Drosophila melanogaster: one gene and its partner. The protein of the gene in region 1 interacts with the protein of each later gene in a pairwise test. Each region holds a gene or a part of one and is shown on either strand. Other genes may lie near its edges.

Region 1 (6,145 bases):
GCCATTAAAATGGGAAAACATTGAATACGAATAGTACTGAAGGAGCAGTGAGTTGTTTAAGTAATAATACTACTTACCAAATTATATTTCCTCTCTGATATGATTATGATAAAATCCCATTCAATTGCAAAATTAAGTTATAGACTTGTCGATTTTGCAACATTTTCATAGTAAAGCAATCGCTCTCCATTTTAGTTAATTTTTCTATCATTTCTCGGTGTTCTGAAAGAGGAAAAAATGCATTGAGGTTTTCTATTCCGATATATGTATGTACATATGTACATAGATACATCTATTATTTCAATGACTTATTGTACGAAAACCAAGAGAATTTCATTATATTCTACCACTAAAGAAGTGGCTATACTAGTCTTTCTTTTTCGACTAAATCTTCACTTTGTAGCAGAACTTTAAAACGTCCTTCGATTTGAATGTCTTCTTACACTCTTCACCTCGTCTTCTCTATCAATTTCTTCTCCCCTTTCCCCCCTCACTTTCTATCACATTCCTTTGAAGATCAGCTGTAGCGGTTAGAATTTGGCCATATCGAGCGTAAAAATACATAGAGGAAGGCACTAAAAACAGCTGCAGCTCAAGAGCGAATAAAGGTCGCCCCCGTTCCGCCCTCTCTTGCTCTTTCATCCCCTCTCGCACCAACCCACACACTTTCACACACACACACACACACGTGCACTGCGTAGGGAAAAGCAGCGCAGTTGCAGCAGAAAAACAGATAAACAGCAAAGCAGAAAAGAGGCAGGTTGCTCTCTCTCGCTCTCACTTGTGGGCTGGACTACAGTCGTTGTTGTTGGTTTGGCCAGCCTAAAAACGGAGATCGCACGTGTGTGTGTGTGTTTGTGTGCGGTGTGTGTAATGCTTATGGCTGTCTTGCTGTTGTTGGTTTTGTTGCCCTTTTGCAGTTGGTGTTTGTTTTTATCTCACACTCGCACACACACATGCAACCGGCCTATGCAATCGAACGAATACGAATGGTAAATAGCATGTGTGTGTGCGAGCGAGAGGTTTCGCTTGTTTTTTTTTGTATTTTAGTTTTCTGCCTTCCGCCTTGTGGTTTTTGTTGTTGCTCATTTCGGCTTCTTGTGCGTCCATTGGGCATTGCATTCGAGGTGTGTGGGTGTGAGTGCAAGTGCGCAGTTGTGTGTGTGTGTTCGGACAGCCTCTCTTTTTAAAAACGCATAAATGTTGATTACAGTAAATTGACAATTTGTTGTTGTTGCTATCTCGCTTTTTGGGTTTATGTTTTTGCACGTGTCTGATTGGAATCCTGTACCGGCTCCTTTTAGACTTGTTAAATAACGAAACCTATGTACAATCATTTTTTTAATCATTAATTTGCTATCGAATAATACTAAAGAAATAAAATTTATTTTAATTTGCATGCAATTTTTTTTTATTATAAGTCTTATTGTGATAAAAGTTTTTGGGAAACACATGGTTATGATGTTAAAAAGAACATAAAACCATATTAATAAGTGCTAATATGCAGTTCAAATATCGCTTTATAAAGTGCTGACATAAATGACCAAATTTCTCGAGAATTTTAGATGTATTTACCTTAGGTATGAAGTTAGGTTACATCTGATGAATATTAAAAATGCAAAGCATTGGTTTTAAGCAACGAAAACAAAGATCAAAGTCGTCGATTAAATAAATCCCGACTAAATTTATTGCTTATTCCCGGGAACTTACACTTTTTGTTACTTCTCTTTCGTGTTTCTTTCAACTGGATTTGTCCCGCCAATTTTCCAATCAAAATTTCTGACAGAAAAAAGCTAAGCGCTCCAAAACCTTGGGTTGTAGCGTGCCGAAGAGCTGATTGCTATGAAACACTGTCCTATTTGACAGCCGCTAAGCGCTAGAGTTGTCACCGAAAATGCGTTTTTACTAGTGCGAACAATAAAATTACCTGCGCAAAAATGGAAAAATGGGATAAAAAACAAGATGAGTAGCAAAGAAAATATTTAAAGATATATTTGTACTGAAATTAAACTGAGAAGGAGGTGCAAACGTGTTGCAAAAAAATTGAATTCACATCTAGGCACCCTAGCAACCCTGTCATTTTGACATTGCCGCTCACACGCACGCCACACAGACGCACGTTAGTCACAGCAACGCACACACACACTACCAAACGGCTACATTTTTTTTCGAGTGTGTTCGACATTCATAATTTTTGTGGTGGAGCTGCCTGCAAAATCGAATTTTATCAGTTTGCCAACGAAGTTATCGGCCATAACTGCAAATAAAGTTCAGCAATAACTTGGCGCTGTTACGATGTGAGTTTGTGTTTTATCGAAAGTTGCATACTTTATCTAAAAACCATTGTTTTTGTCCAAAAATGTTGTAAATGCCCGAAAAAATACCAAAGTGAGAACAACAACAACAACAGCAGCAAAAAAAAAGCAGGAGCAGCAGCAGCAGAAGAAGCAGAGGCAGCAGATAAAATTTAATATAATATCGAAGAAGAGCAAGAAAAAAGCCGTAAAAGTTGATAAATCGAATATATATGTGTGTGTGTGTGAAAAATAATAATTGCGGCGTTCGCACCAAGTATTCGCCGTTTTTTTCTATTAACTTAAATTCGCCAAAAAAGCGGCGTTTGCTTTTCTTCTTTTCTTGACTCGCCCTCTTTGTCTCACCCATCCGCATATTCTCTTTTCGCCTTTGTCTTTTTCGTGCGCGTTGTCTGCATTTTGTCTGTGTGCGTGGGTGCGTGACTCGCTGTGTCTGTGTGTGTGCGTATGCAAGCGAAATTGTTGCTTGTAAAAAAGAAAAATCTTATTTGGTTTTTTTTTTGTAGTTTAATTGCCAACATTATTGATTTTTCAAGCGGTTCACCCCGTTTCTCCCCCTCCGCATTCCTCCTGTCCAATCTGCTTCTTCTTCCTCTGCGGAACTACGTGCATTTGTCACCCAAAAGGGAAATCAATAAGTTGGTAAAACAGCGAAACGCCGCACATTATGGTTAAATTATTGCTGTTTTCGCGTTAATAACGCAATTTCTTTTGTTTGCTTCGAGTGTTTTTCGTTGCTGTTGTTGTTGCTTTCGCAATACAATTTCTGGAAATTTTGGGGCATTCATTTATTGCCTTTTGTTTCTGGTTTATCTGCGTCTTTCTTTCCCCTTCTCCTCTTTATTTTACTTGATTTTCCGTGTGTCTGGGAAATGTAAACAGTTAAAGGAGCCGCAAGGTCACGCTAAAGGAGTTGGCAATAGTGGGTGGGCTTTGACTTACACAAGCAGAAATTTATTTTGAACTTCGCAAAAAGTGTAACGGAAATAAATCCAGAAAATATTGAAAATATTGGTTTACAATATAGTCTAGATATCCAGAATCAAGTTAATAACTTTGAATTCCGTTCATATACTTCAATATAAATATTATTAAGTACTACAATTTGAAAACATCTTTAAATATACAACATATTTTGAATTAGTTTATTTTTTTTTTTAGCCACATAGAGACATCTTTGTGGCATGCTAAATTCTGTAGTAAAACTTTCTTGGGGAAAGTGAAAGCCACGTATCAGACCAAAATCCACCCAACCCTGCACACACGCATCCCCATAAAGAACGACCTTGAGCTGCAAAAAGGAAAATTCTCTTTGACTTGCCACGCTCTTCCCCAAGAAAACCAAGTGAAACTCCAATTTACTAATGCTACTATTTCACCGATACATGTAGTTGAGCCCTTATTTAAATTAGTAATTAGTTTAATTTCACAGTTGAAACCACGACTGTAAACATTAGGGATACTAATTTATAGTCTTAATTAACGTTGAGTGGATAGTGGATGATACCGAGGAACTACTTAATTGGTTAACTTCACTCCGATCTCGTTTGCAGCTCAACGAGAAGGTCCAGACTCAACCCGCGTTTCCAGTTCACCGCGTAAAAGGAACCAGCTAAACGATGTCCAGCCTGCCACGTCGCATCATCAAGGAGACTCAACGTTTGATGCAGGAGCCAGTGCCTGGGATCAATGCCATTCCCGATGAGAACAATGCCCGTTACTTCCATGTGATCGTGACCGGACCGAACGATTCGCCCTTCGAGGGCGGCGTGTTCAAGCTGGAGCTGTTCCTACCGGAGGACTATCCAATGTCAGCGCCCAAAGTGCGCTTCATCACGAAGATCTACCATCCGAACATCGATCGTTTGGGCCGCATTTGCCTCGACGTGCTGAAGGACAAGTGGAGTCCAGCCCTGCAGATCCGGACCATATTGCTATCCATTCAGGCACTGCTCAGTGCACCCAATCCCGACGATCCGCTGGCCAACGATGTGGCTGAGTTGTGGAAGGTCAACGAGGCGGAGGCCATTCGCAATGCCCGCGAGTGGACCCAGAAATATGCCGTCGAAGACTGAACGCCCGAGGTCAGGAGGAAAGTCAGAAAGCGGATCCGTCAGTTGTATCGGCGTTTTTCCAGAAAGTGGGTGCGTGACATGAACGGGCGGGTGGGTAAATTGAATACTTTAAAAGCAACCAGAAAAACCTAAAACATACGAAAGAAAACATAAAATAAGAAAAAAGTAAGGAAGCAAACATAAAAAAAAACGATTTAAGAACACATTTTTTTTTCGAACCTTCTGGGGCGGGATATACATATAAAATATTAATATATATATTTTTTTCAACCAATCGATCGGGGCGATCGGCGAAATGGAGGAGAGATAGCGAAAGCATTCTTTATGTAAGACGTATACATGTATCCGAAACAAACTAAAAACGAAAAAAAAAAAAAAAAAAAAAAACAGTAATTGGTTTTAGTCGTTTCTATTGATTTGTTCGAGGGTTCTGGTGTCTATATACATATAGCCGTATATAATTCTATGTGTAACTGAAATAACCAACCCATAACCATTAACACATGTAGCATCAGATATGATAAATCAATTGGAAAGGCAAACAAGAAGGGATTTTGATTTCCTTTAACTCGTCATTTGAAAACTCGGCTTAAATGTCAATTCAAAATAGAGAATTTTGATTGTATCATTTTCAGTGTTTCAGAAAATTTAAGATGTGATCGTCCAACTTGTAGACTTTACTTTTCTTAACTAAGAGTTCACCATTTCGATTGATACTTGAGCTTTGCCTGGGTTGTGTCAGAGTCCCTTTGATAAACGATAAATAGTTTTTACTCGAAAACAATTTTTTTTAACCAAACAATGAAGCCTTTAAGCTATTAGTAATTTTTGAAAAAAAAAAAAATAAAAAATATATATATAAAAAATATACAAAAATATGATACATGATCAAAATACAATGAATGCATACACTATATATTTATACAAAAAAAATACAAAAAGAAAAACAAAAGTAGTGGCTTGATTGCGTGAAAATTTCAAGTGCAGTTCTCAACAAAAATTGTGTACAGTAATTAAATGTTTGTCACCGAAATCACTAAAGGATAATCCAAAAAACAATAGCAACCGAAAAGCAACCATAAATCAAAGAGTAAGCGAAAATAAAAATTCAGTTTTCTTTAATTTTAATTAATTTTTTTCTAAGAAAAATAAATAAAAACGAAAAATTCAAATAAAAATTATAAAAAATAAACCGAGTTGTGTTTTATTTAAATAGTTAAGTGGTAATATAACTGAATGGTAAGTTTATTAATTAATTTAAGTGTTAAAAAATTACTGAATTTATAGGATTTTGATTTGGATACTATTTATAAATAGTATCAGCCGATGCTGCCTTGTCGAAACAATGACATTTGATTTGTTTTTGGCCCAACTGACACATAAAATATCGTATGCATAACATATTATGAAATAAAAGAACTAATACTTATTATGCCAGCCGAACATAAAACGAATTTTCGAGTCTAGAGTTCCCATCTGGAAGGGCATGACAGAGTCCTGGCAGGCCTTTTAGCACGTGTCAAAAACTCAAAGAAGAAGACGATGACTTTGAAGTCTACAAATCATATTTCTCTGAACAAGTGAACTGGCAACATGTCGAGCTCGTAAGTAACTAGGTTTTTCCTATAGAAATTATAGCAAGTCACAGTAAAATCTTGTAGCCAGAACAACAACAGCAGCTGGATCGATTGGTTCCTCGGGATCAAGGGCAACCAGTTCCTCTGCCGCGTGCCCACCGACTACGTGCAGGATACG
Region 2 (4,258 bases), on another chromosome or scaffold:
TTAAGAACCCAAGGGTTCTTGAACGCGTAAAAACAAATTAACGTTTGAACTTGATTAGTAATTCGGTTTCTGCATTTCAAGCATTTCATTATTGGAATAACTTATAGAATGCTGTAACCTATGGGCGAACGCCACAAGCTCCCAAATTTAACGAATTACTCATGCTACTTGTAATGGAATGTCATAAATATTACAATAAGGATCGGTCTTCGCCAGGCAGATATGTACTGCATGCATTAAGTCTTGTTATCACATGGCTGGCTTTGATGGGCTTGGGAGCTCGCCTTGCCCATATGCTATCGCACCGCACTGTACCTACGCCGGGTATTTACATACATCCATATGTATATGCGAAAAGAGGTGGCAAATAAACACACTACTTATGATATGATTAATCATCAATGAGCGAACCAACCAAACGGTAGAGATCGGCACACATACCAAAGCATAGACTCGTCGCGCACTATGTTGCAGAAGTCCGTTTCGATGGTCTTGATCTTGGAGTTCAGCACAATGCCATCGTCCTGCAGATCAAGGTTCCTCATCAGGGCGATGATGTGGTCGTAGGCATAGCCACCTGTTTGATTTTGATAGGCGGCGGGGCCAGTGTTCAGGATGGTACAAACATCCCGGAGGCGCGCTCCCGTTCCCTCACCACCGCCCCCGCTACCGACACCACTGTGCGAACTGTGACCACTGTCCACCGCACTGTTGTTGTAGCTGTTGTTGCCGTAGGAGGTGGTGTTGCTGCTGCCACCGCCGCCACTGTTGCTGCTGCTGACCATGTTGTTGGCCATTTCCATTTCTCGCCGCGATCACTGCCGTTTGTTGTTGTTATCGCACGGTTGTTTGTCTGTCCCTTCCACACACACTTCAGTGTCTGTTATATTGGTACGCGCGTGTGTGTGAGTCGTCGGTCCACCAAATAAGAATCAGCGTTGACAAAGGTGTCGAAATGCGCACGCCAAATGAAACACCTTTTCGCTCAGCTTCCGCTTTGGGTGCAGGTGCAGTTAGCTCACTGGGACCCACGGTCGATTGAAACGCAAATAACGAACGAAATTAAATGCACAAATTTATAACTATTCCTATTTATTATTGCTATTTGACGACTTTTAAAAGAGGTGGAAAAACATCGATGTGTTGTGTTCTTTAAAACATCGATGTTTCTCCACCTCTAGATAGCATTGTCGCGATATCGAAAGCACACGGTGTGCTTTCGTAAATAGCGCCACAGTGCTCCCGCTGTTATCGATAAGACCACCATGGGGCTAAAGTACGGAGCATAAGTAGCTGGATTTAAGATGGATTGGCAGAATAAAATATGAAATTTATATCCACAGTATATCTTAAGAAGTAGGGTTTAAAAAGTATCCACACATACATATCTTTCTAAAATTTAGGATGAATTTTAGTTTCAGTGGCTGAGTAAGCGTATTTGTAAACATTATTTGTTGTTTCGACTTAAGCCAAGTTAGTTAGCAATTAGTTTGTCGTGGAAATATCTATCAGCTAACAGTTATTGTCTACAATCGATTCTTGACAAATACTGGTGTGGTGAATTCCGCTCATTGGAGCATCGTAAAATCGCCATCAGTCAGCTGTGTTTCGTTGGGCGCGCAAACTGTTCGGCGTGCGTTTATTTGTTGTTCTTTTGTAATAACTATTTTTATGTAGTTATTTGTGCCAAAAATGTTGAACTTAAACTGCGTGATATGCGCCGAATTGTTTGGCCAGGCCGACGAGGTTTTTGCCACAGTTTGTGGTCATATGTTCCACCACAACTGTCTAAATCAATGGCTCGATCGGTAAACAACGCATAAGGATATTTCTGATTCCCGACAATAAAATCAAATATCTTTCGCAGATCAAAGACCTGTCCTCAGTGCCGGAATAAGTGCACTACCCGCAACATATTTAGGGTCTATTTCAATCTGGCCAACTTGGATGTGAGCCACATCGATGTTGGTTCACTGCAGGAGCAGCTGGACAATGCGATGTTGTCCATGAAAATGGTCGAAAAAGAGCGCAACAAGGATGAACAGCAGATTCGGGATCTGAAGGAAACACAAAAGAAGTGCCTGTATGCTTTTGTATACACATTGCCTTAAGTACCAGACTGATGCATTTCTCATTTGCAGCAAAACCATAGCCGGTTTGGAGCAGAAGGTGCAAAAGAAGGATTTTCTCATCAGCAGCTATGTCGAGCAAATTGGCGTCCTCAAGAGTGATGCCCATGTCGTTGATGGGTTGCGCAAGGAAAACAAAACATTGAAATCACAGATCCAGAGTATGGAAGGCATATCGGCTATTCTGGCGGCTGGCTCGGCGGATGCCGACCGCTTGCTCAAGAACGAGGCTGATCCACATGTCCTAGCCAACTGGGTGTCCACTCTCAAGAGGGAGTTGCGACAATGCGAGAGCAAAAAGACGGAGCTCAGGAATGTAGTGAAGGTGGTGCAGAATGATCTGCGAAAGGAGATCGAACTAAAGCGGTATGCTCACAACATTCCAAACGTGGTTTTTATAATTGATATGTGCTCATTCGATTGCAGCAAGCTGGAAGAGCGTGTTTCACACCTGGAGAGCGACCTTTACCAGGCGCAGGAGAAGGTTTGCTGAGCCTTCTTTAACACAATTTCGATTAAACATACTATTATCTTTTCAGCTACAAGCTTTTGAGAACAAGACCGCTTACTTGGACTCACCAAATGCCTCTTGTGGTCTGAACAGCAACATTTTGGCCCTTAAAAGGGAGGAAAGGCGTACCACTATTTCCCCTACAGTTGTGAGTAGACACGAATAAACGAAAATATAAGCTACTAATATTTTGCTGCCCTACAGAAGGAGAATATTAAGCGCATCGAAGAATCCACCTCCCCATATCTCAACATTAAATCCAGCAGCGTCGGGTTGGCGCATCTTCTTAATACTAAGGGTAACATTGGGCTGGCCAAGTCTAAAATATCGCCCATCAAGGGAGTCGGTGGCGGTGTGTCTATGACCAGCGGAACCATACGGAAAACCAGCAGTGATCTCAGTGAAAAGGTAAACGCAATAATTTTGCCGAATTCCACTTAACCATTTAAAAATTCCGTATATTCCCCCAGTATTCAATCTTCAAGAAGCCAAGACTGCTGCTGGGAAGTTCAAGTAGTTCTGCGTTGACGGCCACGACGGGCTCAAATTTTGTCTACAATGGAATGGGCGGTTCTGAGAAGGTTGACCCCTTTGCGCAGCGCGCCGAGGAAGAGGGTCTTTCCACAATCAGATCCTCGACCGCCCTTTCCCGGAATGTCAACCAGCGTCTTAAAGCCGGCTCGCTGCGCAACTTTAACCTGGGCAAATAAGTCCACAGCCATGTGATCATAAGAGACTGCCCCAGTTGGGTATTAGCACGCGATTGGTATTGAGGATTGCCGATTTTGTTAGTTAGCCAATGCATGAATTAAGCAATAGTAATAATTTAGCAGTAAATATATAAAAATACAAAAGGCATATGTGTGTGCGATTAGGCGGCAATTTTTTTCTCCGCCGTGCCCGTCCATTCCTCGCGCAAGTGGACACTACAGCCGAGGTCGCGCAACGCCGCCTTGATGTCCTGCTCCACACTGGGGTGCTCCTTCATTGCCATATTTAGTAGATCCTCAACGCCGAAGGAGATCCAGGTTTCACACTGGTTCCGCGACCGTGACACCATATTGCGGATGGCCCACGCTCCGTTTCGCTGGACTATCTTGTGTTTGGGATGGGCGCGAAGAGCCTCCACGATTACTTCGGCGATGCCGGTATCGAAAAAGGCGGCACTGTGTTCCTGCACTCGGAGTGTCAGAGTAGTCACGCAGGCCAAAGCGGCGGCAACGATGTTTTCATTGGACTGGTGCGTCTCTAGCAATTGCTTTATTATAGGAGCCACGCCCTGCTGTACTATATGTGACTTCACGGAGTCTTGGCCAGCCAGGGCACGTAGCAACTTTAAGGCCTCTCTATTTAGACGCACCTCATCCAAATTCGAACTCATGATCTCGAAGACGGACTTCAGTCCACCAGCCTCGTCGATAGCTGTACAGAGTTCCTGACGCACAGCCAGTGTTCCAATGGTCAGCAGAAGATCAGCCAGAACATTAGGATCCTGATAGGCCGGCAAAAGTTCCACCAAGGTGATGAGCACCTCGCCTGCTATTTGGCGGGCGTGCTCGTGGGCGCATCCAAACTCAACGCGAATGTCATCATCCAGCACTAGGAAGCGGAAGACGGC

Evidence for each region.
Region 2: the proteins of ben (region 1) and nopo interact in a two-hybrid assay, tested with the Drosophila melanogaster proteins (2 studies listed by BioGRID).

Annotation. Positions count from the first base shown.
Region 1 is NC_004354.4:13,994,227-14,000,371, forward strand, and holds ben (bendless), read left to right. Parts: upstream 1-2,118; 5' UTR 2,119-2,297; intron 2,298-2,389; exon of another isoform or gene 2,390-2,571; intron 2,572-3,868; 5' UTR 3,869-3,934; coding exon 3,935-4,390; 3' UTR 4,391-5,579; downstream 5,580-6,145. Other genes in the region: Ste12DOR (stellate 12D orphon), read left to right, coding at 5,984-5,994, 6,052-6,145. UniProt on the Drosophila melanogaster protein: Catalyzes the covalent attachment of ubiquitin to other proteins.
Region 2 is NT_033778.4:18,179,030-18,183,287, forward strand, and holds nopo (no poles), read left to right. Parts: upstream 1-1,587; 5' UTR 1,588-1,692; coding exon 1,693-1,808; intron 1,809-1,867; coding exon 1,868-2,083; intron 2,084-2,141; coding exon 2,142-2,495; intron 2,496-2,555; coding exon 2,556-2,613; intron 2,614-2,668; coding exon 2,669-2,788; intron 2,789-2,844; coding exon 2,845-3,048; intron 3,049-3,110; coding exon 3,111-3,350; 3' UTR 3,351-3,490; downstream 3,491-4,258. Other genes in the region: CG5726 (uncharacterized protein), read right to left, coding at 442-803; CG5721 (uncharacterized protein), read right to left, coding at 3,512-4,258.